Linked DNA regions of Sus scrofa. The protein of the gene in region 1 interacts with the protein of each later gene in a pairwise test. Links are inferred from orthologs where the notes say so. Each region holds a gene or a part of one and is shown on either strand. Other genes may lie near its edges. The genes, in order: PLEKHF2, HSPB7, MBIP, MEAF6, FRMD8, UBE2Z and LDOC1.

Region 1 (4,302 bases):
GAACTAAATGAAATTGGGGTAGGGTGATGGTTCAGATGAGAATCCTGGGGACATTTACACTTGTCTTCAGAGACAACTATACCTAACAGATGTAAAGTTTTTCTGGTGGTAATAGTCTACGTTTTCCTATTAAAAAAAAATATCGGTTTTGCAGTTTTTTTCTAGTTACTAATTTTATTTAAAAGACTTGCTTGTTTCTGAGATATGGAAAAAGTGAGGATGGGAGGCTGAATACCTGGAGGGGATCCCAGACCAAAAGAAAGTTCCTGCTTATGTATCCCTAGGTGGGTGCTCTTTTATGTGGCTTGGGTGCGGTGGTTCTAATTCAAGAATAATCAAAGGTAAAATATCCTTGAAATAATAGATCAACGGGAAAGATAAAATTTACCCAAGTCTAATTTCTGCCTATACGCTTTCCGTTTGAAGTGAATATTCTGTCTCCTCCCCCCATTCCTCATCTTAGTCATCTTAAACATCTCTCCACGTATCCGTCAGCTCGCTTAGCTGCGTTATAAATGAAGAAGGGCAGGTTTAACCTTATATGGTATCATTACTGTTTTCAGATGTGTGAAGTTGGATGACGTTTGTGGCGTCAGAGAAAAAGTTTTGGAAAGACCAGAGTTCTAAGTCAGGGAATAAGTCATCCATCACTTAAAAGACTGTATGGGGTATGTGTGTTGTAGCCGCAGCTCCCTCTGTTTCAAGTGGTGGGGTCTTAGGAAAAGCCAGTGGAAGATGTGACAGGCAGGAACGCTGTGCTAAAGTGGGAGTAGCAAACAAAAGTCCGCCCAGCTTTTATTTCCCGGCAGTGGAAAGTTCTTGAGTTCCCCTTACAGGCCAGTTCGGTGGTGTGGGAGAGGGGGCCCAGCCTTCCTTCCGTTCTTCCAGCCTCGCTAAGAACTTCGTGGGCAGATGAACAATCCTTTCCAAGGACTTGCCCGCAGCTAGGCAGCCCAGGTAAGACGTCCCACGTGCGCCCAATCGGCTCCAAGGCGCGCGTTCCCACTGAGCACGGAGGAACCAACCCCAGGCCCTGGCTACCCAGGTGGGTGTGGCTTTCGTGGTGGCTCCGCCCCCTCGAGCTCGTCGCGCGGGGCCGCCCGGGCGGGGCGAGGGAACGGGCAAGAAAGGGCGGGGAGCGAGCGGTGTGGGTGTGCTCGTGCCCGCGCTCGCGGCTGGCGTGTGGGTGGCGGCGCGCCCGTGCGCGCGCAGGGGAGAGGCTGTCCCCGGCGGCCGTTGTGGGGTTCGACTGGAGGGGCGGGAGGGTCACCTGCGAGCGGCTTCGACGCCAGCCCGCCGCGTCTGGATCGCGCCGGCTGCGAAACGCTGTTGGCTGCCCACTCTGGGAGGCTGGGGCGGAGGATCGAGCAGAGTCCGCGCCCGGCGCTCGGGACGAGGAGGAGTCGGACCTTTGCCGCCGCCGCCGCCGTCCGCGCCCGGCCGGGTAGGTGAAGCCGGAGTTGGTTGTCCACCGGCCGCCGGCGGGCGGGGAGAGGAGAAGCGAAACTTTCCGGGCGCTTCCCTCCGCGGTCCCCGGCCGTCGGCGGCGCGGGGAGGTGTCGTCGTCTCGGGCGGCGGCGGCCGACGCCATGTTGGGGTCTGTGAGAAACGGGGCGCTCCCGGCCGCTCCCCTCGCCCTGGGGGAGCCGCGCCCGCTCGCAGGACGCCGCCGCCGCTGCGGGAGGGCTCGGGGGCCGCCCGGGGGGCCGTGCCGGTGCTCGTTCTGTCCTCCGGGCCGCGGGGCGGGGGCCGGGCGGACGCGAAGCGGACCCTGAGATCGGGTGAGAAGTTGGGAGGCGCGGGGACTGGGGTCCCAGTCGTGGCCAATGGCATCTTAGGGCCCCAACATCTCTCTGTCCAAAAAGTTTGCAGGGTCTGGGCATCGCGGACGTTGTAATCTGAACAGCGTATTTTTATGTGATTGGCGGCCAAAAATGGCACCGCAGAATTTACCCTGATAGAAGCGTTGGCTCTAACGTCTTACTTACTTGGAATCTTTTAAAAGTTGTATGGTCTTTTGCCCAATTTATTTTTCCTTTATTTTTTAAATTTTTATTAAAGGCCGAGAGCTGCCTCTTCATGTTGCTTGACTATCCTTGTGCGCCCTTAGGACATTGAAGCAGTAACTTGTGAGTGTGCACTGGAAATCGTGGGTAGTATTAAGGTTACAGATAACCAAGTTCTTCTCTGTAATTCAGAGACTCACAAAGTTTGTAAATCGGTAAATACTTTCTTTGTTGTGTTTCAGTACGTCACTGAAGAACAAATTCAGTAAAGAAGGACTTAGACACGAACATTGAGAGACTCAAAGGCATGTGTTCTGTTTAGAATAAGGTGAAGTGATCTTGACATTGCGAGGTTTCCCCCCTCCTTTTGGTTCCTTAAAGGTGCTTGCCTACTGTGTTTTGAGCATTTAGATTTTTCTGTCCTTTGCGAGCTCATGGGGTCCTCAGGTTAATTCGGTATTAAGGAAAGCTTCTATTTTTAATCTCTTTGGGTCCTCACAGCACTGGAGGTGAATGGTATTAAGTTACTTATTTGGAAAGCACATGTAATCGCCTCAAAAAATAAAACTGGTGTACTGACCAAGGCATCAAAAAAGATTCAGCTTGAATCACCCCAGTAAGTGAATGTAAATTACTAGTTTTAATGAAGGCATTTGAGCTTCCAAATTCTGTTAATGAACTGAAAGGACTTTTTAACTACAAATCAGATAAACCCTTAAACATATCTTGGAGAATTTCTCTTATCAATCTTTAGGTAAAAATATAGCTTCGGCTCAGATTTGATCGCTAATTTCCTTAATTCTAGAAGAAAAAAAAAAACCTTTTTTTCCCCACTGTTAGGTAATTGCCATTATATGTATATATTTTTCTGTATGAAGAGTTACCTACAAATAAAGTGATTTAACTAACTTCAAATCTAACAGCCAAACTGGTATTTAAGTGAGATCTTATGACTGAAGCCTTCTCATTTTTCTTACAGCGTAACTGCAGGATATATAACTCATTCCTGTGGAGTAGTCTCTCTCCACCTTGTTTCGTCTGTTAGCTGCTCTTTCTGATTTTAATTTAGTTTCTCAGTATATCTATTTCCTGGAGTATTTCTTAGGAAATCTCAGTTTATGAGAGTTCATGTACTGAAATTATTCCTCCTAAAATTATTCACTCAAGCCTATAGAAGCTCCTTCTGCCCTGTTCTCCTTACCCCATCCTCTTTTTCTCCCCAAGAATAATTCACCTATCTATCCCATTGCATCCCAGTAAATGTATCTGTCATGGCACCTTCTTGACAGCAGGTTTAGGTCAGGTCTGAGTTGCCTCATCATCCCCAGAACATAGCACATGCTCAGGAAAGGTTTGAATGGATAAATACACATGTGTTTCTTGTAAATACGCTTTATGAATTTCTTGTTAAATTGCACTTTCAGGGGCAGAAGAGTTAAATCTTCTCTAACCACCTTTTTTTTTTTTTTTTTTTTTTGAGAATTTACCTTGGCAACTCATTAATTTTGGTCTGGGGGTACAGAACTTGAATGTTTGTGAAATTTCAGAGTAGATATGGACAGAAGGATAAGCAGCAAAGAAACAACAGCTGTGAGTCAACAAAAGGATAATAATCATAATTTAAAAGTGCATCTGGGAGTTCCTGTCTTGGCTCAGTGGTTAATGAATCTGACTAGGAACCATGAGATTGCAGGTTCAATCCCTGGCCTTGCTCAGTGGGTTAAGGATCCGGCATTGCCGTGAGCTGTGGTGTAGGTCGAAGATGCGGCTCGGATCCCGAGTTGCTTTGACTGTGGCGTAGGCCGGCGGCTAGAACTCTGATTTGACCCCTAGCCTGGGAACCTCCATATGCCACAGGTACGGCGCTAGAAAAGGAAAAAGACAAAAAATAAAAATAAAAAATAAGAAAAATAAAAGTGCCTCTGTATTTAGTGTTTATACTACATGGAAATAGAATTAATGCCTACAAATTTTGAAGGTCATGCTTATATATTTAAGCTTTTTGACAGAACAACTCTGATTTCTCTACCAATAATTATTTTGTTAGAATTTGTCTTAGAATTTTGTTTTAGAATGCCTGGCGTAATGGAAAACATGTGAAAATTGCTTTTCTATTTGTAAGTTTATCTTTGAGAACCAGCTTTGTACACCAGCTGCATGCCTAATAGCAGGGTGTATGTTGGCTTAAGTGAATAAAATGGACTTTGTGGATATACTCTCAGAGGGCTGTTTTAAGTTGTGAAACCTCTCCAGGTGAAGGAGTTCTGTAATTCTGTAATGAAATTACTGTAGAATT
Region 2 (4,544 bases), on another chromosome or scaffold:
CCCCTTGGCCAGAATGGGTGACACAGGCCAGGCAGGAATCTCCACTGTGGGACAGACCCCTCTTGCTCCAGCTCCACCCTGGCCCCACCTCCTGGACCATCAGCTCCAGTAATTACCCCTGGAGATGGAGTTCTGTGGGAGCCAGAGAGAAGAGGGACACTCCCCCCTTCAGGGACCCCCAGCCTAATGGGGAGACAGGCAGGCCCCCGCCCCAGGGAACTGCCAGTCTGACAGGGGAGAGAGGTCACGGCAGAGGACACAGGAAAACCACGCCACACTCAGGTGCCAGGCTGGGCAAACATTGCCAGTACGTCAGACATCTGGGCAGGACCCCCTGTGTGGGCTGAAGCCATCCGAGAGGCCTCCCTGGGGGAAGAGGAACCAGAGCTGATCTGGGGAGGAAGGGCAGGATTTGGAGAGAAGAGCAGAGGCCCCAGGAACCTCCCAGAATAGCCCTCCCCCGCTTCACCCCTTTGGTCCTGCATGATGTCAATCCTGGCTCCACTGGTCCGTGGGTGGGCACAGGAGGGGCTTCTCAGGGTGTTCCAGGCCAGCCAGGCTCCCTACATGAATATTCAGGTCACCCTGGCCTCCTGGAGAGTTTGGATCAAACACGTTTGTGTTCAAATCCCAGCTCTGCCCCTTACCCACGTGCAAGCCCCAGGCTCTCTGTGAGGCTCCATTTCCCTGTCTGTAAAATGGGAAGAAAGAACATCCCCTTCCCAAGAAGGGAGAGGATCAGATGAGGCCCACCTGGAGCCTGGGCCCAGCAGGCACCTCAGGAGTCACAGCTGGAACCACTGTCTTGTGGGGGCCTCCTTCCCCTCTCTCTGCTGAAGCCCTGCCCCCTGCCACCCCCCACATCTCCCCTGAGCTGGAGGTCAAGCGGACCATTCCTAGGAATGTAAGTTTTTAGGTTGCTACCAACCTTTACAGAACTCTCTGCTCTCCTCCCCTGGGTCCAGCCCAACCACCAGCCCTGCCTGAGCTTTCTCGTCTTGGGTCCGTTAATGTTTCCAGAGTCGGGGGGAGGGGGAGGGGGGACAATTATGAAATCTGGGTCCCCGGAGGGGCTGCCAGGGCAACAGTGGCACCTTCTCCACCCCCTCCCCCAACTCAGGGCTGTCTCCGTCCTTCCTAAGAGATGGCTGTGAACATCGCCTGTCCTGCAGGATGAACCCCTCACCTCCCACAGGGGTCCAGCAGGTGGGGGTCCTCTACGCCCCTCTGACCTCTTGACTTGCATTTCCTGTCCTCCCCAGAGTCAGAGGCTTGGGCCCCTCTGTCCTGATCACCTGCCACCCAGATCCCTCTCACCAAGGGCTAGAACTCTGGGGGAGACAGGACAGGAAAGAGAGAAAACCATGTCTTCAAGGAGCTTGCCGTCTGATGGGGGAGACAGAGACAGAAAGCCTGCACACACAAGGTCCCGGGGCAGGGGGGCAGGGGTCTGAGTGGCAAGGGAACAGCATGGGCCCCCACCTCGTTGCCCTGGGAGGCCCCCCATGCGGAGTTATCAGCCTGGAATGCTGGACTGTGAGCTCAGCCTCACAGGCAGCCTGGGCCGAACTGTCAGCAGGGCCGTCTCACTGGAGAAGATTTCCAGCTCCTCTGGGCCATGGAGAGGACTAAATTTAGCTGGTAGACAAGGGGCTGGCCCTGCGCCCAGGGACGGTCGGGCCTTATAAAGCACCGCCGGCCAGGGCCCCGCATGCTCCCCCAGAGCTGGCTGTCCGCACCCTCTCCTGTCCGCCCCTGCGCCCAGCCCGGGCCCGGCCGCCTGCCCGTGGATGAGCCACAGGACTTCCTCCACCTTCAGAGCGGAGAGAAGCTTCCATTCCTCCTCTTCTTCCTCCTCCTCCTCGTCCTCCTCGGCCTCCCACACCCTCCCGGCCCAGGACCCACCCATGGAGAAGGCCTTGAGCATGTTTTCCGAGGATTTTGGCAGCTTCATGCGGCCCCACTCAGAGCCCCTGGCCTTTCCAGGCAAGTGCTTGGGGGCGCTGTGGGGGAGGGGAGGCACACGGGGGAGGGGACACCTGCTCCAGGCCACCACCCCATGCAGCTGCGGCTGCTGAGCTGCTAGGAACAGGTGCTGCACAGCTGCAGGGCCACCAGGACAGATGTGGCCCCAGGCAGGCCTCCCAGGAAGCGCTCTGGCCTGGGGGTCAGCTAAGGTGCCAAGGGCCAAAGGCCCTGTGGCCAGGCCCTCTCTGGAGCCCCGGAGAGCTGCATGTGTTGGGGGGGCGGGCAAGGTGCATCCCCAGTCCAGGCCTGGGACGAGTGGCTATGGACAGTGTCATATACCGGTGCCGAGTAAGGCCCTTCCCCACCTTGGGAGAGGTGGCTTTCGAGAAATGAGGAGGGACGGCCAGGGCAGCTGAGGAGCCACAGTTGAGAGGGAGGTCAGGCCTGGGGGGCCGCCCCTTCCCCAAGGAGAAGGAGCCAGAAACCTTCCTCCTGGGTGCCAGCCTGCCCTGTGCTCAGCTCACAGCAGCCCTCCCCACAGCCCGCACCGGGGGGCCTGGCAACATCAAGACCCTGGGCGATGCCTACGAGTTTGCAGTGGACGTGAGTGACTTCTCACCTGAAGACATCATTGTCACCACCTCCAACAACCACATTGAGGTGCGAGCTGAGAAGGTGAGCCCGCCCCCTCCCCTAAGACTGGGGGCTCCGCACAGGTACCTTCTGTCCAGCATCCCCACTCTCATGTCCCATCCTGGGACCTTGCACCCTAACCAGTGCCCCCTAAAACTTCAGGACAAACTGGGGGCCTTGCTCCTGTAGCCACGGGGCCCCCTTTACTGCCGCTCTCTGCCTGGAGGCTTCCAGATCCTCCTTTAAATTTTATTTTATTTTTGAAGTGTAGCTGATTTACACTGTTGCATTCCCAGATCCTTTCTTCAGGAGCCCAGGGCAGCAGAAGAAGCCACAGGGGATGGGGGGCGGCGGGAGGAGGCAGAGGGTGGGGCACCTGAGGCTGGGAGGAGAGGGGAGGTGAGAGGAGGTGAGAGGTAAGAAGGGGAGGTGAGAGGAGGTGAGAAAGGGAGGTGAGAGATGAGGAGGTGAGAGGTGAGAAGAGGCAGGAGAGATGAGAAGGGGCAGTGAAAGATGAGAAGGGGAGGTGGAGTTCCCGTCGTGGCGCAGTGGTTAACGAGTCCAACTAGGAACCATGAGGTTGCGGGTTCGATCCCTGCCCTTGCTCAGTGGGTTAACGATCTGGCGTTGCCGTGAGCTGTGGTGTAGGTCTAAGATGCAGCTCAGATCCCACGTTGCTGTGGCTCAAAAAAAAAAAAAAAAAAAAGAGAGAGAGAGGGGGACGTAAGAGGAGGTGAGAGATGAGAAGGGGGGGTGAGAGGAGAGCTCTTCCCTCAGGTGTGTGGTCAGGTGGGGGGCTCACCTGGGCGGCTAGGGGGAAGGAGCTCCCCCATGGGACAGCCCTCAAGCCGTCTTCCCTCTTGGACCCCAGAATGGAGCTCAAGGCTAGGCAGCAGCCCTGCAGTTCAAGGTCACACACACTCCAAACCCCACAATTCTTCTGCCCATGGATCTCAGGGTCACTGTGTCACTAGGGCCTCTACGTCCTAACTCCCAGGAGACTTGCACCCTCGAGGAGGGTGTGGCCCTGGCTGAGGAGGGGGGCTGCCCCCAGCGGGTTAGAGCCACAGCTGCTCCTTAGAGAAGAGGGTAGGCCCAAAGCTACCCCACCGGACAGCCCAGCTTCTTTCTCCAGCATGGGAGGATGCCCTGCACCTCCATCGGGGAAGCCAGGGACTATGGGCACCAGGACCAGTGGGCAGCATGTGGCAGCCCTGCCACCCCCACCAGTGACTCAGCCGCCCCAGGCTCTTCTGGACACCATGTGCTGGCTGGGTCGTGGGGGAGGGGCTGCCAGCCCAGCCCCGGAGGTGGACACCAATGTGTCTGGGTATCCAGGAGGGCTCGGCTCTGCTCTGTGCCTTCTCCTGTCACACAGGAGCCCCAGATTCTGCCACCAAGCCTCCTCTCCTTCGGAGCTCCCCCACCAACCCCTTGCCTTTCCCCTGGGACCACTGGAGCGCCGCTGAGCATCTTTGCGCCCATCCTACCCTGGCCAGCCCCTAGGCAGGGCCTCTGCACCTAAGAGCAGAACCTCTCAGCACATGGGAGCCCAGCTGGGGTTAGACGGCGCAGCCGGGGCTGCGGCCTGTCGTGAGCAGTACAAGGGTGGGGGCCAGCCTGCCCTGACCCATCACCCCTTCCCCAGCTGGCAGCTGACGGCACCGTCATGAACACCTTTGCTCACAAGTGCCAACTGCCAGAGGATGTGGACCCCACATCGGTGACCTCGGCCCTGCGGGAGGACGGCAGCCTCACCATCCGGGCCCGGCGCCAACCACACACGGAGCACGTCCAGCAGACCTTCCGGACGGAGATCAAAATCTGAGGGCCCTCCCCTCCCCGGCCCTGCCCCCACCGCCCTCTCCTCTCCCCCACTGGGCTGCTAGAGAGGCTTTCCTGCCCCCCTTGTGACAGCTTCCGGGACATCTCAGCCTGGGTTC
Region 3 (4,346 bases), on another chromosome or scaffold:
GCAAAAACTTCCAGTTACCCCATTAGAATTATTCTCTAACAAGAGAACTAGAGGCCAGGAAAATACCTTAACATTGCAAAGACTCTTGGATTTAGGTTAACACGGGGAAGAGTAGCTTGAATGGGAAGAAGGTTGCTCAATTTGGGATTAGATATTGTGAAATCTGTTTCTGGATGTCTCTAGGCATAGGCTGGATTATAAACTCTATATCTTGCTGTGAACAAGGGAGCGGACGAGATTACTTAAGATCCTGTCAAGCCTGCTGATCCTTGGAAATGAAAGCCTAATTAAGAGGCTCCCTAGGGACAGGTCAAAGGCATTCTTTTATCTCTACTGCCCCTAATCCAAGTTCCTTGATGGTTTATTCCTCCCCTTTCATTCAGCCTACTCTAAAACTGAAGAATACACATTGTGCAAGTTTCCAACTCTGCTTCTCCTACTGTAAACGCATTAGACAATTAGAATTAAGAATTTTAAATCTTTCATCCCTCATATCTAAACATGATGTTTATTTTTCAAGTGGTTTTGAATAGAGTTTAACATTAAGCATTCGTCTAAACTTTTTTTTTTTTTTCAATTGGACAACAAAATTTTCAATGCTTGACCCCGGAATACTACAGAGCCCTTCAGATATCTTTTAATACAGTTATCTGGATAAATAATAACTTGTTGAATTTTAATTCGGATTTATCTTTATTTTCAAAGATGGTGTTCACGCAATTACTTATTTGGGTTAAATTCCTGTTGGAATCATGTTGACATTGTTTTCTTTGAAACAGTTTTAGATGAGTGTGTATACCATATCACTCAGAGAACAGCAACTATGCAAGTTTTAAAACTTGACAGAATTATTTTGCAGATTTAAAGTAGTATTCCCTTGATAGTAAATGAGGCATAAAAGAGGGGTATTTTGGGGGGGAGGTGGTTATATCCTCCTCTTTCTCTCATGAAAAAAAAGTGATGTTAAATTGTGTATAGACGAAAATGTTCTACCCAATTATGACAATTCTGTGTGTTTTCAGTGTTTAGAAATATGTGTGGATCCACTGCGTCCCTGACCAGCGATCTTTCTAAAGTGCCGTGGTAAAATCTCAACTTTAATTTGGTACTAAAACTCTAACATTTAACTACAAGTTTTCTCTTAGCAACACTCATAATCAACATCTAAGCGTCAAGCTAAGCTTCAAGAAGCTAACTCTCATTAGATAACGACTCCAAATCACCATCTCAAATATTGCAGCAAGCCAAGCCCAGGTTGGCAATCTCTTGCTCACGGTCCTTGAAGGAATGCTGTAGTTGCACCTTATTGGTGCACATGCTTGTCAGTCATGTAGGGAAGGTGGGGTCTTACAGTCTCGCTCTAAATGAGACGCAGTGTGTTTACATCATCGGGGAGCGACGAAGGCAGGAGAGGGAGGGGTGTGTTGTGAGCACACCTTGGTGCTGGTGGGGGTGGCCTACGAAAGTGTCATGGCTGCCGCCGCTGAGCTTAGTCGCGCGACCCTCGGTGACAGGAGCATGGAGCGGAGCTGCAGCCCCAACCTCTCCCAAGAGGTGGTCTGCGAAGTCTTTCGCTCCTTGCATACCCTTGCTGGACAAGTGAGTGGTGGGCTTTGGGAGTAGGGATCTGGGAACCGTCCGGCCCCTCCCCCTCTCCTTTCTCCGGCGGAGGCGGGGGCGGCGGAGGCCTGCGGGGTGTGGGACCCGGCCCAGAATAGCCGAGGCTGGGGGAGGAGCTCGGGCCCGGCCGCCTGTGGTCTAAGTGAGGCTGGCCGCGCGTGGGTTAGTTCAAGACCGGTTGCAGGCTAGATTTCTTTGCAACTCTTCTCCCCAAGAGCGAATGAGGATAGTGTAAGTGAAACCCCGCTAGGAGAGAAACAAGCTCGAAGAGAATGCGTGCGGAAAAGCTGTGAGGGTTTGGGAGGCGCCTAGCGCTGTGGATCCCTTTTCCTCCAATTCATTCATTATAGAAATTGATAGGTTAGTCTACGGCCTGAGATTTCTGGAAAAGCTCCCTCTCCGCCTTTTTTGGGTGATTTACCGTTAGGAGTCAGTTGGGTTTGTTTATTTCTTCTTTCTTTCTGGCTGTTGCTTGCATCTCTTCCCCTTTCAAAACGGGAAGGAAGAGAAAAGGAATTAATTCAACCACTTCTAGTGTTAAGTTGGATAAGTTATCCCTGGTTTATACTGTTTGCATCACAACTGTTGACAAGTTATTAAATATTAACTAGCTTAACTGGCTGATAAATAGCTTTTGTAGAAATATCATTATAGAATCGAACAAATAAAAGTGCTCTTTACTCTGTTCCAGTGAAGTCACTATTTCGTTTCATGATGTAAGATGTAAAGGAAATTTAAAATGCGAACTTGAAAATACCGTTTGTCTGCTTTTAAAAGGAAATCTTTTTTTAAATCTTAGATAGGATTAGGTATTTGTGTGGAAGATAATGGTAACATCCTTTATGAAAATAGAGCGTTTGATTTGTGAAAATTACTTTTAAAAGCCTTCGGTGGATGGATAATCAGTTTTTTAAAAGGTTATTTCAGTATTTTTAAAAATTCTAATATATTCTGACTTAAAAAGAGTATTACTCAAAATTAAATACACAATTTGGTGTAAGCGAATAATTATCAATAGAATCGGCTAAAAGAGTTGTTTTTCAAGGACTTAAATATTTTTTTGAGACAGGGACATTAATATTTCAGTGTCAAGACTTAAAACCTCTAAATGGTTTAAAAGTTTGAGAACTTTCTATGATGTGACTTTGGAACTTTAAGGTTTTTTTTTTTTTATATCCTAATGTCAAGATGAAAGGTTAATGCTCACCTGTAGTTTACAGACTTCCCCCCACTGATGAGATTTTTTTAAATAACATTAAGAAATAATTTAAACATTTTTGAAACAGTTGGCATACTGAATTTTTAAAACTTATTTTAACATTTTAAACATTCAACTATTCTGTAGGAAAAGTATGATTACAAATTATTTATGTCACCTCAAAAATGTTTAAATATTTGGTGAGTTTTATTGACAGTGAAGGAACCATTTATACAAGTGTTGGGGAAAAAAAATCATCTCATCAATTAACTGCTAGCCATTTTGATAATACTCTATATTTTGAGATGTATAAAGATAAGGATGAAAGCCAGAGTACTATACTTATAAAATTGCCCCTAGTGGGAATCATTATTTTTTTTTTGAAACTGGTTTAAGGAATTTCTTTAACTGTATGTTGTAAAATGCCTAGTTCATTCTATATAGTATCATTGTATTATTAGCTCTCCTCAATAGGAAACATAAAATTGAATGTTTAAACAGTATTTTCTATCCTAGATTTCCAGTTTACTAATTTTAACTTTATTACTTGCCTCTGGATTGTCCATTTTACAAGCTGAAGAGTTATTTATTATTAGCTTGGATTTTCATATTTATAAAGTTTTTACTGAAATGCATATTTTAAATGGTCCATATTAATGGCTGACTTATACATTTTCGAGTGAATGTTTTAGAGTTACAAGTTCTATAGCCTAAAAATGCATAGAATTCATATTACTAATAGGGAATTTGTTGAATAATAATTGAATGTATTGGGATAGTTTTAAAGTTAATTTTTAATGTTGTTATATGGTTTTCTTAAAAGACCAAGTATCTTGAATTTCACTTGAAAGCTTACATAATTCTGCTGTATTGAAATGAGACTATGATCCAAACATAAATTAATTTCTATAAGTTACTATTTGGTAAATTTGTTGCTTTGTCTTGGTTGAGGATTTGCATTATCCCAAAATGTATATATAAATTTGTTATAACCAACTATAGATCTCTTTGGAACTGTGAAAGTATAGTTTACTTTCATACATAAGTTGTTGTCTAACAAAATCTTTATAGGCATTAAATTAATTAAGATTAATGTAGCAATCTTAATGTAAAACTTTAGTTAAATTAATATAAACTCATCTGCTAGTGCAGCCTACACAAAACTTAGTTCCTTATGCTTGTCTGATATGGACTTTAAATATTCCTGGTCAAAGGGTGGAAATTTCTTTCATATAGCATTCAATATAGTGCCTTTGTGGGAACTTCATATCTTTTCAGTTTTTTGTACAGTGATTCATTCATCTTTTTGCTATATTGTAATCACAATTCATAAGATCTATATTTGAACTAAAGTAATATATCTTTATTTTTAGCAAAGATGACTAATTTTAAATAAATGATTTCTGGAAAAATAGGATAGTTAACTTGATTCTGTGATACAGTATATCTTTACAAAATGCTGTAAACACATGTCCCTAGAAAAGTTTATGGTAGTTCTCTTATATACACTTGGAAGGCTTTCCCTCTA
Region 4 (3,868 bases), on another chromosome or scaffold:
TGTTGTTGTTGTTGCTATTTCTTGGGCCGCTCCCTTGGCATGTGGAGGTTCCCAGGCTAGGGGTTGAATCGGAGCTGTAGCCACCGGCCTATGCCAGAGCCATAGCAACGCAGGATCCGAGCTGCGTCTGCAACCTACACCACAGCTCACGGCAATGCCGCATCGTTAACCCACTGAGCAAGGGGCAGGGACCGAACCCGCAACCTCATGGTTCCTAGTCGGATTCGTTAACCACTGCGCCACGACGGGAACTCCAGAACTTTTTTTCTTACATAACCACTTATTATCATGCCTAGAAAATTAGCACTACATTAATAGTATTATTTCATACACAGTCCTTATTCAGATGTCCCTGATTTGTCCCCCAGATGCATTGCCACCTTTTTTTTTTTTTTTTAATGCAGCTAGTGTTCGTGCATTGCTTTTGGCTGTTATGTCTCTTTAGTCTCTTACTAGGAGCGTCTCTCCCTTTTTGGTGGTGAATTTTTTTATGACATTATCTTTTTTCTTTTTCTTTTTTTTTTTTTGGCCATGCCCTTGGCATGTGAAAGTTCCCAGGCCAGGGATCTAACCCACACTGCTGGTGACAACGCCGGATCCTCAACTCACTGTGCCACAAGGGAACTCCCTGTGACATTATTTTGCAGAATGTTCCAATTCCAGGTTTTTCTTAGTGGGACTTAATGGGAGATCCTTTAAACATTGTTGGCAAAAATGTTAATTACCTATTTGTATACCTCCTGCTGTTTACCTCTATTTTATCAGGAGGCACATGTCAGATTGCCCCATTACTAGTCCCACTAAGTTGGATCATGTGATTTCACCATTGTAAATGTTCATTTTTTTTCTCTTTGTAATTAACAAGTAATTTCAGAGGTTGTATTTTTAGGCAGTGTGAAAATATAGCCCCCTCTAATTTTTATCACTGGTTTTAATATCCATTGTTGATTCTTTTTTTTTTTTTTTTTTTGTCTTTTTGCCTTTTCTAGGGCCGCTCCGCTCCCATGGCATATGGAGGTTCCCAGACTTGGGGTCTAATTGGAGCTGTAGCCACCGGCCTATGCCAGAGCCAAAGCAATTCGGGATCTGAGCCGCTTCTGCAAGCTACACCACAGCTCACGGCAACGCTGGATCTTTAACCCACTGAGCAAGGCCAGGGATCGAACCCACAACCTCATGGTTCCTAGTCGGATTCGTTAACCACTGCACCACGGTGGGAACTCCATCCCATTGTTGATTCTTATCTGAAGCAGTTATTATAATGGAGGTTGCAAAATGATGATTCTGATTTTACTATTTCTTTTCATTTATCACTGGCATTCTGAAAGAAGAGTCTTCCCTTTTTATCTTCTCTCCCTTTCATATTCTGTCTCTAGTGTCACTATAGATACATGGATGATTTATTTATTTATTTACTTATTATTTTAAGGTTGCACCTGCAGCACATGAAAGTTTCCAGGCTAGGGGTCAAATTGGAGCTATAGCTGCTGGCCTATGCCACAGCCACAGCAGTGTGGGATCTGAGCCGCATCTATGACATACACCACATCTCTCTGCAGTGTGATGGAGCCTATGACCCACTGAGCAAGGTCAGGGATGGAACCTGCATCGTCATGGATACTAGTTGGGATCTTAACGCGCTGAGTCACAATGGGAAGGAACTCCCAGGGTTTTTTTTTTTTTTTTTTTAAATCAGTGTATTGGGATCTAGTACTGTCACTTTTTTATTGTGAAGTTTTGTTTTTTAGTATGAATTAATATATTGAAATCTATACAGAGAAGAATTATAGATATACATCTCACCGACTTTTCACGGAGCTGACACATCCATCATTATCCTTTTTGGTGCTTAGTTTGCTCTAAACCTGGCCAAAGGGAGCTGCCGCAGGCTGATTTGTTTGTCTTTCTGACGTGATCCTATTTCTGAGCATTTTGCTGCTTTCTGTTACCTTGTCCTTTTCTCTTTTTTTCTTTTTTTCTTTGTTTTTTTTGGCTGCGCCTGAGCCGCTGTGGTGACAGTGCCAGATCCTCAACCCACGGTACCACAGAGAAACTCCACTTTGTCTTTTTCTTGTCCCAGACCTGATATCAGTCATTTCTCTAAGGAACTCTCGTTCTTTCTTTAAAGTTTTTTTCTTTTTTGGCCGAGCCAAAGCATATGGAGTTCCTGGGCCAGGGATCAGATTGAGGGGCAGTTGCCATCTAGGCCTCAGTGGCGGCAGCGCTGGATCCTTAACCCACTGTGTGGGGCTGGGGATTGAACACCATGGATCTCCTCTTTAAATTTTTTGGTTGTTTGTTTTTTTTTCATCTTTTTAGGGCTGCACCTGGAGCATATGGAGGTTCCCTGGCTAGGGATTGAACCAGAGCTGTAGCTGCTGGCCTGAACCATAGCCACCACAACGCCAGATTCAATTTTTTAAATTAAAGTTATTTAACAGAGATACTTCACATCATTAGTCTGTGCTAGATGTTTTTAATAATAGGTATTAAAATAAATACATATTAAAACAAAAATGATTGTGGGAGTTCCTGTCATGGTTCAATAGAAACAAATCTGACTAGTATCCATGAGGACATGGGTTCAATCCTTCGATCCCTGACCTTGCTCAGTGGGGTAAGGATCCGGCATTGCCATGAGCTATGGTGTAGTTTGCAGTCACACATGAGACCTGGCGTTGCTGTGGCTGTGGCCTAGGCTGGCAGCTACAGCTCTGATTGGACCCCTAGGGAACCTTCATATGCCGAAGGTGTGGCCCTAAAAAGGCAAAATAAAAGAAAATGAAAATGATTGTGAATCTAAAGCAAAAGCCATCTCAATGGAGCACATACAGTAGGTATATTGGAAAGCATTGCTGTCTACTTAGGCATTCAGCATAAATGTCATTTTGGTCAATCCCAGTGGAATGGAGGAGGCATTTTTGTAGGGAACTTGGTAATTAAAAAAAAAAAAAAAATATATATATATATATAGGTGTTTGCCCTAGGGCATCCTCAGCTTGAGCCATAACCAAAGCTTGGTGCTTATAATGAGTTTCTTGTGTGTATTTCAGAAACTCCAATAGCAAAAACGATCGAAGGAACCGGAAGTTTAAGGAAGCGGAGCGGCTCTTCAGTAAATCCTCAGTTACTTCAGCAGCCGTAAGTGAGGCAGGGGGCTCTTTCTGTGCCCATTTTTAAGAAAGACCTCAGTTAAATTTCTCTTTCCCTCCATCTCTGAGTGCTCTCCTGAGGTCTGTGATAATTTTTCTAGTAACTGGTGATGTTTTTCTTTTAGGCAGTAAGTGCATTGGCTGGAGTTCAGGACCAGCTCATTGAGAAGAGTAAGTTTATTTTTTTACTTTTTCATCAATTTTCTTTTGTGTGTGTGTGTGTGTGTCTTTTTTGAGGGCCGCACTCTTGGCATATGGAGGTTCCCAGGCTAGGGGTCAAATCAGAGCTTCAGCTGCTGGCCTATACTACAGCCACAGCAACGGCGGATCTGAGGAAGTCTGCGACCTACACCACAACTCACGGCAACGCTGGATCCTTAACCTACTCCAGCAAGGCCAGGAAGCGAATCTGAGTCCTCATGGATACTAGTCAGGTTCGTTAACCACTGAGCCACGACAGGAGCTCCTCGTCAATTTACTCTTAAGCTACCCTGGCCCTTATGTGTAACTCCTGTCCAGTTGTGTGTCTGAAGACTGCATCTCTTACATTCATGCCTTTTGTTTCTAGAAGTTAGGAACCCTTTTGGGTATCCTTAATCATGCTTTTCTTTTGAGGAAGAAACTACCGTATCCTTCCTGCCTTTTTAGACACACGAAAGTTGACTTTAGCTGCTCAAAGACACAAAGATATGTCTTCACTCCTGATAAGTCTTAGG
Region 5 (3,868 bases), on another chromosome or scaffold:
CATGTGGTCAGCACCACAACCTGAGCTGGCATTTTACAGATAATTTCACCTTATCCTTTGGATCAGCCTGGTCATGCGGGTGAAGAAATTGAGGTTCGGAGGGCTTGACCAGTGCGTGGTAGAACCAAGATCAGAGTGGAAGCCTGGGTGGCCCCCAGAACTGCATCCTGCCCTTTGGGGGCAGGAGGGACAGTGGGACCTGGCCTGGGATGCAGCCACCCCTCAGGAGGAGACTTTTCCTGAGGGTGGGGAGGCAGGATGCTTGGGAGCCCAGCTTCTCTGCAGGGGCCTCCAGCGCTGCCTGGTTTGTGGCTGGTGGTCACCCTGTACTGCCCCTTGAGGCTGCCATCCCAAGGCGGGGGTGGAGTGGGCTTGGGGGCTCTCCAGACCCTCAGGCCTGGGGGACAGGGGCAAGGGGGTTGGCGGGGAGCTGCCTGGGGCCTCAGAACAGGGCCGCTAGCCTGCTGGCTTGGGCAGGAAGGGACCAGGGGAGAGGATATTCCGAATGATGTGGGGGCCTGACAAGTTTTCTGAGCTTCAATGTTCTCCCTTGAAGAGGATCAGGGGCCAGAAGGGCCTTGTGCCTCTGCCCTGGGGGAGAATCTTGCTGGCTGGACGGGGGAGGGTGTGCTTGTCTCCCCACCCCCACCCGCCAGTGGGTGCTTCCTGCCCAGCTGCTGCTCTCGCCCACCCTTTTCCTGCTGACCGGTCTCTTTCGGCCGCTCCCCTCCCAGCTCAGCTGCCCCTCCTTCAACCTTCTGGCTGTTGGTCAGGACTGTGGGCCCCTCGGCTTGTGTCTTTGGAAAGCTGGGGGCGAGGGCAGGGGGTTTTGTATGACCGCCCCTGCCCTGCCTCGTGCTCCCTGGCCCTGTCCTGGGCAGCTTCTTTCCTCCCCCACACCCTCCTCTTCACATTCCTGCCCCCCGCCCCGCCGCAAGAACATGAATGGGCTGCCTGTGTAGCTGGTGGGTCGCCCTGGGGCACCGCCCTGTCCAGGAGGCCCCAGCACAGAGTCAGCGCCCACTTTGTTCCCAGGCTGGGTTCAGAAAGGCTGAAAGGCCACCTCAGCTTTGACTCAGGCCCCTCAGAACTCTTGGACCCGCGCCACCCGCAGAGTGGGTGTAGCAGTGACACATGCCCCAGGGCCCAGGGCAAGGGGGTACCATCTGCTGGAGCCGCCCTTCCAGCTAGATGTTTGGGAGGGTTTGACCTTCTCAGTGGCATTGTCACTCTGCACGGAACAGGGCTCCAGGGACTGCCAGTCTCATCCCGGTGACAGACAGCCTCCAGGCAGGAAGGCCCCACCTGGAACTGTGGGACCACAGGGCCGGCGCAGTCGCGGTCTGATCACGGCAGTCCTCTGAGCTGCTGGGGATCCGGGTGTAGGGCTGGTGGGGCTGAGCCATAGGATTGCCCCACATCCTCCTCCCCACCACGTCCCAGGGGTCCCAGCTAGCCCGTCACCTCGTTCATCTCACAAGTATGTGCAGAGCAAGCGCCCCACCCCCCCTCAGGCTGGGCGGAGATCTAGGTGCTGGGGCGGGGGGGGGGTCCGCTGGGAACAGGACTGCAGGTGTCGCTGCCCTCAGGGGACTCAAAGTCTAAAGTTGGTGGTGGGGCAGAGCTCAGTTCCTGGTGGAGCCACTGATTCTGGTGGCCTCAGGCGGACATTGTCCCTCTTTGGGCTTCAGTTTCCCGCCTCTAAAGTGGATGGTCCCCCTGCCTCCCGGCCCGGCGCCCTGTGAGTGTCTAGATGGAGAGAGCACTCGGGTGGCACCGTCCCCTCCTGGGAGCGCTTGGGCAGGGGTGGTGACAGATGGGTGTGGCCGAGGCAATGAGGGCTGCTGGGAACTCTGAATCAGGGAAATGATGGAAGAAAGAGGTGTAAGGGCGGCAGGAATGCAGGGGTCGTAGGCAGGGAGGAGGCCAGTTTGGAGCCTGTGACTGCTGTCCTGGACTAAGGTCAGGGTCCAGGAGTTCCTGTAGTGGCTCAGTGGGTTAAAAACCTGACTAGGATCCATGAGGACACAGGTTCGATCCCTGGCCTCGCTCAGTGAGTTAAGGATCTGGTGTTGCCGTGAGCTGTGGTGTAGGACACAGACACAGCTCAGATCCTGAGTTGCTGTGGCTGTGGTGCAGGCCAGCAGCTGTAGCACCAGTTCAGCCCCTAGCCTGGGAGCCTCCAAATGCCGTAAGTGCAGCCCTAAAAAGCCAAAAAAAAAAAAAAAAAAAAAAAAAAGATCAGGGTCCAGATGGAAGCTCAAAGAACAGAGATGAGCATCCTTAGCATCAGGCTGGCAGGACAAGGCACCCAGCCCTCCGATGTTAGGGGTGAGGGGTAAAGGGGAAGATACAGGTCAGAGGGAAGGGGTGGCTGGTACAGGGTGTGGGTGTTGCCATCGGCTCCTGTGCCCTCGGCAGCCATCCGCATTCATCTCCACATGGACTTAGAGTTGGCCTCAGACCTCCCAGAGGCCAGGGGCACTGCGGCCGTCAGATGAACCTGCTTTGTCCTTCCTGGCCTGGGGCATTCAGCCCTGGGCCAGCTGGCAGCCCAGAGATGAGGGGCTGTGAGTGGTGCAGAGACGGTGAAGTGACCCCCAGTAGTGGTAAAGGAAACCAAAAAAAAAAAGTGCCATTAGTGTGACAAGTAACAGGAAGGGGCTGCCTTAGTTAGGGGTCCAGGGAAAGTGACACTTGAAGCCAGCAAGCCATCGGAGGATCTGGGGGAAGGGTGTCAGCGGCAGAAGGAACTGCATGTGCAAAGGCCCTGAAGCACAAACCAACAGGGACCCTTGGAATGTTGAAAGAAAGCTAGCAAGGCAGGAGCAGAGTGGCGAGGAAGAGAGAGAAGGAAATGCATTTGGGCAGCTGGATGGCATGGTGCCTGTGGGCCGTGGAGATGGGGAGCTCGCAGGATGGAAGGTCAGCTGGAGCCCCCAGGGAAGATGCTGGATGAGGGCTGGCGAAGGAGGGACCCAGGCAGTGCCGGGAGCAGGGAGAACAGCCTCTGGGCCTTTGGGCCTCAGTTACCAGCTTTGGACTCTGCTCCCTAGCGGCAGTTCCGGAGCCATCTGAACTGCCACCCCCAGCTCCTTCCATCTGCCACAGCCTCTCAGCCACACTTGCACTGCAGGGAACAGTCAGAGGCTGGCTCTGACTCCCTCTCACTTGCTCTGTGACTCCTTAACCTCTCTGGGCCTCATTTTTTCCTGTGAAATAAGGGTAGCGTTATTGCAGGGCCAGTGCTGTGAACCGTTGGAAATAGTTCTTTCTGGATGCTTAGTACCTCCTTTGGTTAATACTGGCCACGACTGCCGGCATTGTTGCCGCTGTAAGCGGGCAGCAGTTGCACTGGCTGGGGCTTCACGGCCACGGCTTCATGGCTGCTTCCCTCTCGTCCCCCAGAGGTGCAGCTGAAGCCCAAGCACCAGCCCTACAAGCTGGGCCGCCAATGGCCAGAACTGCTGCTGCGATTCACCGATGCCCCGGACGATGACGTGGCCGTGGGTCAGTGCTGCTACCCGTGCATCCCTGTCCCAGGGGCCCACCTGGGTCTGGAGCAGGTGGTGCTGCCCTGGCCAAGGGGCAGGGCTGGCCTCTCCCACCTGGGTAGGGAGGGATCCCCAGGGGAGCCCAGGAAGGGGTGGGTGGGGGCACAGCGAACACGTTAAAGTAAGCCACACCCCCCAATCTCTGATCAGCCCTCGGGTTTTCTGGGTAAGGGGTGGAGGCGGCTTGGGGACTGGAGACCTGGCCCTCAGGGGAGGGGCTGAGCTGGCAGTGAGCCCCTCTTTTCTCCCCAGATGAGCCCTCCCTGCAATTCCGAAGGAATGTGTTTTTCCCAAAACGGCGGGAGCTCCAGGTG
Region 6 (3,868 bases), on another chromosome or scaffold:
CCTGGCCCGGCACAGTGGGTTCAACGATCTGGTGCTACTACAGCTGCCGCACAGGTCACAGCTGTGGCTGGGATGCAATCCCTGGCCTGGGAACTTCCATGTGCTGCAGATGTGCCATTAAAAAAATAATAAGAGACTTCTTTTTAAAAAGCAGTTTTAGGTTTACAACAAAATTGACAAAGGTACAGAAACTCCCCATATATCCCCTCCCTACACATGCATAACCATTCTCAACACCATTCACCAGAGTGGCACTTTTGTTTTGTTTTTTTTTTGCGGGGGGGGGGGGGCTCTCACGGCATATGGAGGTTCCTAGGCTAGGGGTCGAATCGGAGCTGTAGCTGCCAGCCTACGCCAGAGCCACAGCAACGCAGGATCCGAGCCCTGCCTGCGACCTACACCACAGCTCATGGCAACGCCGGACCGTTAACCCACTGAGCAAGGGCAGGGATCGAACCCACAACCTCATGGTTCCTAGTCGGATTTGTTAACCACTGCGCCATGACGGGAACTCCGGCACTTTTGTTTTTAAGCCAAGGGACTACACTGACACATCACAATCACCGAGGTCCATGATTCACCTTAGCGTTGACTTTTTTTTTTTGAGACCACATCCGAGGGATATGGAGGTTCCCAGGCTAGGGGTCCGATTGGAGTTGCAACTGCCAGCCTACGCCACAGCCATAGCAACGAGGGATCTGAACCACACCTGTGACCTACACCACAGCTCGTGGCAACGCCGGATCCTTAACCCACTGAGCAAAGCCAGGGATCGAACCCACGTCCTCATGGATGGCTAGTTGGGTTTGTTAACTGCTGAGCCCATGAAGGGAACTCTTAGCGTTCACTTCAATGGAGTAGTGTTGCAGAGTCCATGGTTTGGACAGAAGTATAAGACATATATCCATCATAACGTCACATAAACTCCTTTCACTGTTCTAAAAGACTTTTTTGTCTTTTGTCTTTTAGGGCCACACCTGTGGGATATGGAGGTTCCCAGGCTAGGGGTTGAATCAGAGCTGCAGCTGCTGGCCTACGCCACAGCCACAGCAACACAGGATCCGAGCCGTGTCTGCGAACTATACCACGGCTAACGGCAATGCCAGATCCTTCACCCACTGAGCAAGGCCAGGGATTGAACCCGCAACCTCATGGTTTCTAGTCAGATTCGTTTCCACTGCGCCACAATGGGAACTCCTAAAAGGCTTCTGTATACTGAGTACTCATCTTCCCCAGACTCCTGGCAACCACTGATTTTCTTCCAATATTGAGCCCATTCCCAATGATCCTGCACAGCAGCCATCTGGAGATGGGCCGGGAGGGAGGTGGAGAATGACACATGTTGGGTATTTGTTTATAGAAAGGCCATGAGTTGTGTGTTCCTTGTCACAACGAACCCAGGTTTCTGTTGGGTGTGTTGTAAACAGAGAAGCCATTTCTTCAGGCCTCTTGCTCTGAGCACACCCCAATTTTTGCTCGTTCTTAAAGGGTTATCTCCCTTTGCTTAGATCTATAGAAGAATCACTAATGTTAGTGTTATCTCAAGTAGTTTCAAAATGAATTAAGCTGTTTTAATCACCAAAACGGAATTATTATTATTTGGGAATACCAGTGGAATTCTTTTCCTGTGCTCATGAGTAAGTAACCCTGGAAGGAGCTTTGGAACAATAAAGATTTTGGGTTCCTAGGACTACATCCTGATCTGTGTTGTTCTTGTGAAAGCTAACTAATCTCTCTGAGTCACCATTACCTCCCTTGAAAATGGGGATGACAATTATTTATCTTGCAGAGTTGCTATGAGGATTAAATGAAATGTTACATATAAAAGCTTGGCAGTGGCTGGCATACAGTACACCTTTGGAAAATATGAGTTTCCTCCACCTTCTCTTTGGCAGCACTGACTAAAATGTTCTTGCACTAGCTAATGACTGCTCCTTTTGCTCTGCAGATAACAGGACTTCATAACTCCAAAAGAAGCAGTAGTCACTAGGGAGCACTTTAAAGGGATACTGGAGGGAGTTCTCATCGTGGCTCGGTGGGTAACGAATCTGACTAGCATCCATGAGGACACAGGTTCGATCCCTGGCCTTGCTTAGTGGGATAAGGATCTGAGGATTGCTGTGAGCTGTGGTGCAGGTCACAGACATGGCTTGGATCCTGTGTTGCTGTGGCTGTAGTGGAGGCTGAAAGATGCAGCTCTGGTTCAAACCCCAGCCTGGAAACTTCCATATGCTGCAAGTGTGGCCCTAAAAAGCAAAAAAATAAAATAAAAATAAAGCAACACTGGAGAACAGAAGCAAAGAGAAGAACCCACTAGCTGCAACAGCCCCCCAAACAGGCTCAGAATCAATTTCCAAATGACTCCATCGACTTCCACATGGTAGATTAATCCAAGTCAAATGGAAATAAGTTGACAATGCTACTGTAACTTAATAAGGAAAAAAAAAAGTCATCATTAAGGAGCACACATGCCAACTTCTTTTTTTTCCAACAGCGAGAAAACAGAGTTTAGCATATTGGGGTGAGCCGGTCAAAAACAAAACCAAAACCCTCAAGCAGACCTTTCATCTCTTAAAACCCAACCCTGAGCATCCCAGAGCTAGGCCTACCTGGCCTTACCTGCTCAAAGCCGGGTTCATTGTGATAGGGGTTCTCAGTCATCAGGGACTGGATGGAGATGAGCACAGAAGAGATGCTCTGGGCTGGGCTCCAGGCAGGGCCAGTCCACGTACTGCAAAACACAGCAGAGGGAAGGGAAGAGGGTGAGGCAGAGAGAGATGGGGAAGGACATTCAGAAAGACCAGTGCACACGTATCCTGGGGCCTGGCGGCACCATCATAAGTGACTCACTTTCTCTTTCACTATTAATACTCTGGAATTTCCCAGCCTCCAGCTCATCCTCATTCACCAGAAATCAGTCAACTGTCTAATCCTCTTACCAAGTGGGACAAAAGAGGGTAAAGCAAGCAAGGTAACTTTGGAGGGATTTTCTTTGGGCTAGAAGAAAAACAGTGGCCAGGGAAGGTTCCCTTTTTCGCAATGAAAGAAATAAGGTAAAAAACAGCCCCAAAGGCAGTCTAAATGTGAACCTCTATGGATCACAAAGAGTTATTTATGGGTGGTGAGGGAGTCAGTGAGGAGAGAGATGCTGAGTGCAGAGGCAGAGAAGGGACCGCAGCTATCCGTTTAGAGGCCATGTGGTGGGGCTGATAATCAGGGATCCAGCTCTCTATCAAGCCCCCAAAGAGTATCAGATTCTCTGAAGATGACAGAACTCTGCCAAGGGACAGAAAGGGGATAAGGCGCACTTCTGGACTGCGGAGGGTTTGAAAATGATACAGGAACATCTTCAACAACAGAAAAACACCAAAAGTTGCTCCTTTCTTTCACAAACCTGATGGAACACTAGGATGAGGAGGGAAGCTTGGACATTAAGAATATTTATTTTAATTTTAATTTTTTGTCCTTCTAGGGAGGCACTAGTGGCACACGGATGTTCCCAGGACAGGGGTCGAATCGGAGGCCCAGCAAGGCCAGATCCGAGCCGCGTCTGCGACCTACACCACAGCTCACGGCAACGCCGAATCCTTAACCCCCTGAGTGAGGCCAGGGATCGAACCCGAGTCCTCATGGATACGGGTGGGGTTTGTTAACCGCTGAGCCCCTGGGAACTCCCAAGGACGGTTACTTTTAGTTCAGTCAACTGAAGAGCTGGCACCTGAGTTGGCAGCTGAACACAACCTGAGCTAGGACTGGCTCGTTCAAGTAAACTGGCCACTTCCCTTTCCCTGGCGGCTGGAGGAAAGGCCGGCAGGTGACAGGGAGCAGTCAGGTCCTCAGAGACTGCGCTTCAGTGCCTCTCAACCTC
Region 7 (4,522 bases), on another chromosome or scaffold:
TTCAGGGATACCCATTCAATTCTATTATAAAAGGACTGAATAGGGTTTAAAAATTTTTATTTTGCCATTTTTACTACATCAGTCATAATTTCACAATGAAAATATTCACGATCAGAGATAGAATATATTGGACAATTTGAAGAGTATTTCTGAACACTTTGTGCATCCACCACTTCGAATTTTTATCCTAACATCTGCACCCTGAGATTCCTTTATCCACCAAACCCTTATGAAGCTTCTACTCTGGGCCAGGCACTTTTCTTGCATTAGTGATAGAGCAACCAACAAAGCAAAGCCTCTGTCCACACAGACATTTTAAAGGGGAAGCTGACCTATAAACAAAGTGCTATGTGATATGATGGCTGTTAGTAGGATAAATGCTATGTAGAGAAATGAAGCAAGGCAAACGTTAGAGGTTACTGGCAGAGAGTGGGGTGCTCTGATAGATGAGGTAGTTAGGAAAGTCCGCTTTGAAAATGGAGGAAGAGTCAGGCAGTAAAACCAGGAGAACATTCTGAGGCAAAAAAGAAAGTACAAAGATCCTGAGGCCAGAGCCACTCAGTGTGTGTGAGCCTCAGCAAGAAGGACAGTGTGATGACAGCAGAGCAGGAACTGGGACAAGGCAAAGGGAGTGAGGCAGGGCTTGATAGGCCATTACCGAGACTTTGGTTTTTATTTTGAGCGAAGGGGGAAAAACTATTGGAGGGTTTTGAGCAGGAAAGTAAAGAGATCTAATGTTTGTCCTAAAGGATTCCTATATCTACTCTGGAGTATGTATATAATACACACACACACACACACAACTTGAGGAAGAGAAGAGTGGAAGCTAAGTGATGAGCTGCAACAGTCTGTGTGAGAAAGGAGGGCTGGCCTTAGGGTGGTAGTGCTGTTTAGAGATCCCCAGGTAATTAAACTGCTGATATATTTAAAAAGCAAAGCTAAAAAAATATATTGGCCCCAAGGTCCTCACCCTGACTTATTTGTCAACTATTTGAATAATCACATTCAAAGTAGAAAACAAAACTATTTTAAAAACACATGTGTTCATTGTTAAGCAAAGAACAATAACCAGTAGTAGGACATGAAATAGAGTCAAAGATAGGCAGGACTCATGCAAATGGTGATTGGATACTAACTTTTGCAGAACTTTTTACACTTTGCTATTTAAAAGTAATTTTAAACAAAAGGATAGAGGTACACAATATTATTTTACAACTAAAGAAAAACCTCTTTTTAAGTATTACTTTGTCATGAAAGACAGGACTCCTGAACGTCTTTCATAACTCTTAAAGGATGTGACTCCTGCGGTGCAGCCAGAATTGCTAATAGTTCTCTGAGTGAGGGAGATTTAAACACGCAAAGAAATGTGTTAAAACCACATAAATGGAATCTGGTGGCCACAGACCCACCGAGGAACATTGAGTCGTTTGGGTTGAAGGGTGGTTAATCCTTTAAACTTGAGCAGGTTAACCCTCTCTGGGAGATGGATCTTAGCGTTTGCTCGGCCTTGGCTAAGGCCTGGCCCGCATCTAGGGCTGGATCTCCCCCCACTGCCTTTATCCACGGGCCGGGAGAACTGCGAGCCAGCAGCCCGAGACCCTGCCCGCCTCCTTGCCTGGCCACGCCCTCCCTCTGTCCGCTCCACTCTGGCCACGCCCCTCCTTTCTCCAGTGCCCGCCTCCCTCCAAGCGGGCGGCGCCGGCGTGCCGGCCGTCAGAGCCGCTGTGTGGGTGGAGCTTGCGCAGCTGCCGGGACCCCTGCGCGCACCGCCTCTCGCCCCTGGCCGCCGCGCGCCTCCGCGGACACGCACTTCCTGCAAGGCCTCCTTGCTCACCTTAGCCGATCCGAACCGAGCTGAGCCCATTCTTGCTCTTACAAGCTGTTCGCCATGGTGGACGAGCTGGTACTGCTGCTGCACGCGCTCCTGATGCGGCACCGCGCCTTGAGCATCGAGAACAGCCAGCTCATGGAACAGCTGCGGCTGCTGGTGTGCGAGAGGGCCACCCTACTGCGCCAGGTACGTCCGCCGAGCTGCCCGGTGCCCTTCCCCGAAACGTTTAACGGTGAGAGCTCCCGCCTCCCTGAGTTTATCGTGCAGACGGCGTCTTACATGCTCGTCAACGAGAACCGGTTCTGCAACGACGCCATGAAGGTGGCATTCCTAATCAGCCTGCTCACCGGGGAAGCCGAAGAGTGGGTGGTGCCCTACATTGAGATGGATAGCCCCATCCTAGGTGATTACCGGGCCTTCCTCGATGAGATGAAGCAGTGTTTTGGCTGGGATGACGACGAAGAAGACGACGAAGAAGATGAAGAAGCTGATTACTAGGCCGGGAGACCCTCGGGCCTAGGGGGGTGGGCCCTGCACGCCGCCACCACCCCCCGCCCCGCTTCGCTCCTCCCGGAGCCGCGACACTTCCCTCGCTCCCTATCTGCTTCCCTAGTCTTCCTAGTCTTCGCTCTGGTTCTCTTCCTTATTCACCGCTCCCCCCCCCCCCCCCCCCCCCCCGTAGTGTTTGTCTTTGTTCTGGGAATAGTGCTACAGTTACCTGCTGCTGGGGCTGGGGCCTCTCTGAAGTGCGCTGCCTCCCACTCAGGCCAGTCCCAGGGCCCAACCCTGCTAATTTGAACTGTGTTCTGAGCCCCAACTATAGGGCAGACTGTTACAAACTGGTCAGACTACCCACAGCCCTGCCGATTGTCAGGCCTACATCTGCCCAAAGACCGACGCTGCCACCTAACCAACCTCCATCACATTCCAGCGACAGACAGACCAGGCCTTTGGAGACAAGGACCAACCTAGAAGATGCTTTTAGTTGGCTATACCACCTGGGACATTGATTTGGACTGCTCACGCCCACCCCACCCCCCCACGAGGGGCGAATCTTTGCACCTGGTTCGTTCCCTCCTTTCCTAACTCATAGAGTCTTCTCCTGCCTCACCAGGTTGCTGCAGGGGCCCGTTGTGCCTGGCAGCCAAATTATTGACATTTCTCTTATGCACCAGTTTTGCACAACTGTCATTTTTCTTTTAAAACTGAAGCAGTCCCACAGCTGTGTGCATTTGGACAAAAATACTAAAAACAAAAACCAGACAGACAAAAGCAGGTACTCAGCCCAGCTCCTCAATACTACATAGAAAAAGCATTTGCATTCTTTTCAATAAATATCAAGCACTACGGAAAAAAAAGAGCGTCTTTTAATGGTTAAGTGCTATCATTGGCCTTTGCCACTCTCACCCTGACTCCCATTATTCCTACTGATATCAGAGAGCCTAGTTCAATCCCATTATTCTCTACTGTCATGTCTGGGCAATAGAGGACTGCTACTACAGAGCTTTATAGGGAAACTGGTGCTCCCCTCACCAAGGCACTTTTTAAAGCCCTGGTGAAGTGAGTGTCCTCTGGGGCTTCCAGGATGGGATGAATAAGGGGTAGTTGAGTAGATGGCACACCATCCCAAACTGGGACACTCGAGAGAAAAAGGGGGCACTATTACTAATCGGAATGGGACAATAGGCGTACATCAGGGCACATACCATATTCCTGTCTTCCTGAGCTTTTGGGTTCTTTCTCAGCCCTGCCAGGCAAGTGCTGCCTCTTAACTCTTATTCCTTGCAGGGTGCTGTTTGAGTTCAGGCTTCCATAAACAAGGTAGCACATTGTTTCAATACCGATTTTAGATGCTTGAGCTAATGTTAAATCCTGAGTCCTGGGTAAATGCACCCATAAGTGGAGCCAGATTTTAATGTTTCATCCTCCTTGGGCAGATAACCCTTAAGATCCCCACCCATCTGTGTGCCCCAGATTCCTGCCTGTAGAAATCGACAAGATGCCTGGCTATCTCCCATACTAGATCTTGTAATGCTGTCTGAGCTGTGCTGAGATCTTTTTGTGGGCCTGGAGGGCTGGAGGCCCTAAGGGAGTGGGGTGAGTGCTGAGAATAATCTCTACTTTTGTGAGCCCATAACCCCAGGTTAAGTCTTTGAAATGTTAAATCAGGGAAGCCTGATTAGGGGATTTGTGGGGCCTATCGCTGCCAGCCAGGAACTGTCAGGAGGATTTGAGGGGTTCAGAATTCTGATTCTTACATGTATCTGCCCAGATGTCTTCTGTACCATGCCGGGAACCAGCCCTACTTTAGAACCTCTAATTTAGATAATAAAATTCCTTCTTGTTTAAGACCTTTTGATGCTGAGTGTTTTATTTGTACCAATAAACCTTACATTGTGGGTTCAATGAGATACAGGGAACAGGTCTCTTGCTGTTGAGCTGGGCTTCAGTAGGAAGGTGTTAGGAGTGAACAGGAGCAGAATAAGCTCAGCAGAGAGAATGGAAATGAGAGCATGACAAGAGTTCATTTTTACTCTTTGGGATCTGACATGAAGTCAGATAGAAAACCAGTTTACTTGGTGAACAGACAAAGTCTAGAGCAAGAGTCATCTTTTGGACCTAAGAAAGTTGTTTCTGTAGGGTGGGGACAGGGGTAGATAGGACTTAGCAAAGGAGGTTGAGGCCCAAACA

Evidence for each region.
Region 2: the proteins of PLEKHF2 (region 1) and HSPB7 interact in binary tests that used the Homo sapiens proteins (3 or more experiments, as listed by UniProt). The two-hybrid records come from large-scale screens. The link is inferred for Sus scrofa from reciprocal best matches to the Homo sapiens genes PLEKHF2 and HSPB7.
Region 3: the proteins of PLEKHF2 (region 1) and MBIP interact in binary tests that used the Homo sapiens proteins (3 or more experiments, as listed by UniProt). The two-hybrid records come from large-scale screens. The link is inferred for Sus scrofa from reciprocal best matches to the Homo sapiens genes PLEKHF2 and MBIP.
Region 4: the proteins of PLEKHF2 (region 1) and MEAF6 interact in binary tests that used the Homo sapiens proteins (3 or more experiments, as listed by UniProt). The two-hybrid records come from large-scale screens. The link is inferred for Sus scrofa from reciprocal best matches to the Homo sapiens genes PLEKHF2 and MEAF6.
Region 5: the proteins of PLEKHF2 (region 1) and FRMD8 interact in binary tests that used the Homo sapiens proteins (3 or more experiments, as listed by UniProt). The two-hybrid records come from large-scale screens. The link is inferred for Sus scrofa from reciprocal best matches to the Homo sapiens genes PLEKHF2 and FRMD8.
Region 6: the proteins of PLEKHF2 (region 1) and UBE2Z interact in binary tests that used the Homo sapiens proteins (3 or more experiments, as listed by UniProt). The two-hybrid records come from large-scale screens. The link is inferred for Sus scrofa from reciprocal best matches to the Homo sapiens genes PLEKHF2 and UBE2Z.
Region 7: the proteins of PLEKHF2 (region 1) and LDOC1 interact in binary tests that used the Homo sapiens proteins (3 or more experiments, as listed by UniProt). The two-hybrid records come from large-scale screens. The link is inferred for Sus scrofa from reciprocal best matches to the Homo sapiens genes PLEKHF2 and LDOC1.

Annotation. Positions count from the first base shown.
Region 1 is NC_010446.5:41,531,923-41,536,224, reverse strand, and holds the start of PLEKHF2 (pleckstrin homology domain-containing family F member 2), read left to right. Parts: upstream 1-1,292; 5' UTR 1,293-1,444; intron 1,445-1,696; exon of another isoform or gene 1,697-1,781; intron 1,782-4,302. UniProt on the Homo sapiens protein: May play a role in early endosome fusion upstream of RAB5, hence regulating receptor trafficking and fluid-phase transport. Enhances cellular sensitivity to TNF-induced apoptosis.
Region 2 is NC_010448.4:75,172,061-75,176,604, reverse strand, and holds the start of HSPB7 (heat shock protein beta-7), read left to right. Parts: upstream 1-1,686; 5' UTR 1,687-1,790; coding exon 1,791-1,986; intron 1,987-2,509; coding exon 2,510-2,643; intron 2,644-4,249; coding exon 4,250-4,429; 3' UTR 4,430-4,544.
Region 3 is NC_010449.5:63,657,838-63,662,183, forward strand, and holds the start of MBIP (MAP3K12-binding inhibitory protein 1), read left to right. Parts: upstream 1-1,385; 5' UTR 1,386-1,470; coding exon 1,471-1,599; intron 1,600-4,346. UniProt on the Homo sapiens protein: Inhibits the MAP3K12 activity to induce the activation of the JNK/SAPK pathway. Component of the ATAC complex, a complex with histone acetyltransferase activity on histones H3 and H4.
Region 4 is NC_010448.4:93,582,210-93,586,077, reverse strand, and holds part of MEAF6 (chromatin modification-related protein MEAF6), read left to right. Parts: intron 1-3,053; coding exon 3,054-3,141; intron 3,142-3,277; coding exon 3,278-3,323; intron 3,324-3,868.
Region 5 is NC_010444.4:6,837,335-6,841,202, reverse strand, and holds part of FRMD8 (FERM domain-containing protein 8), read left to right. Parts: intron 1-3,408; coding exon 3,409-3,510; intron 3,511-3,806; coding exon 3,807-3,865; intron 3,866-3,868. UniProt on the Homo sapiens protein: Promotes the cell surface stability of iRhom1/RHBDF1 and iRhom2/RHBDF2 and prevents their degradation via the endolysosomal pathway. By acting on iRhoms, involved in ADAM17-mediated shedding of TNF, amphiregulin/AREG, HBEGF and TGFA from the cell surface.
Region 6 is NC_010454.4:25,128,394-25,132,261, reverse strand, and holds part of UBE2Z (ubiquitin-conjugating enzyme E2 Z), read right to left. Parts: intron 2,732-3,868; coding exon 2,620-2,731; intron 1-2,619. UniProt on the Homo sapiens protein: Catalyzes the covalent attachment of ubiquitin to other proteins. Specific substrate for UBA6, not charged with ubiquitin by UBE1. May be involved in apoptosis regulation.
Region 7 is NC_010461.5:115,578,948-115,583,469, forward strand, and holds LDOC1 (protein LDOC1), read left to right. Parts: upstream 1-1,674; 5' UTR 1,675-1,888; coding exon 1,889-2,329; 3' UTR 2,330-4,182; downstream 4,183-4,522. UniProt on the Homo sapiens protein: May have an important role in the development and/or progression of some cancers.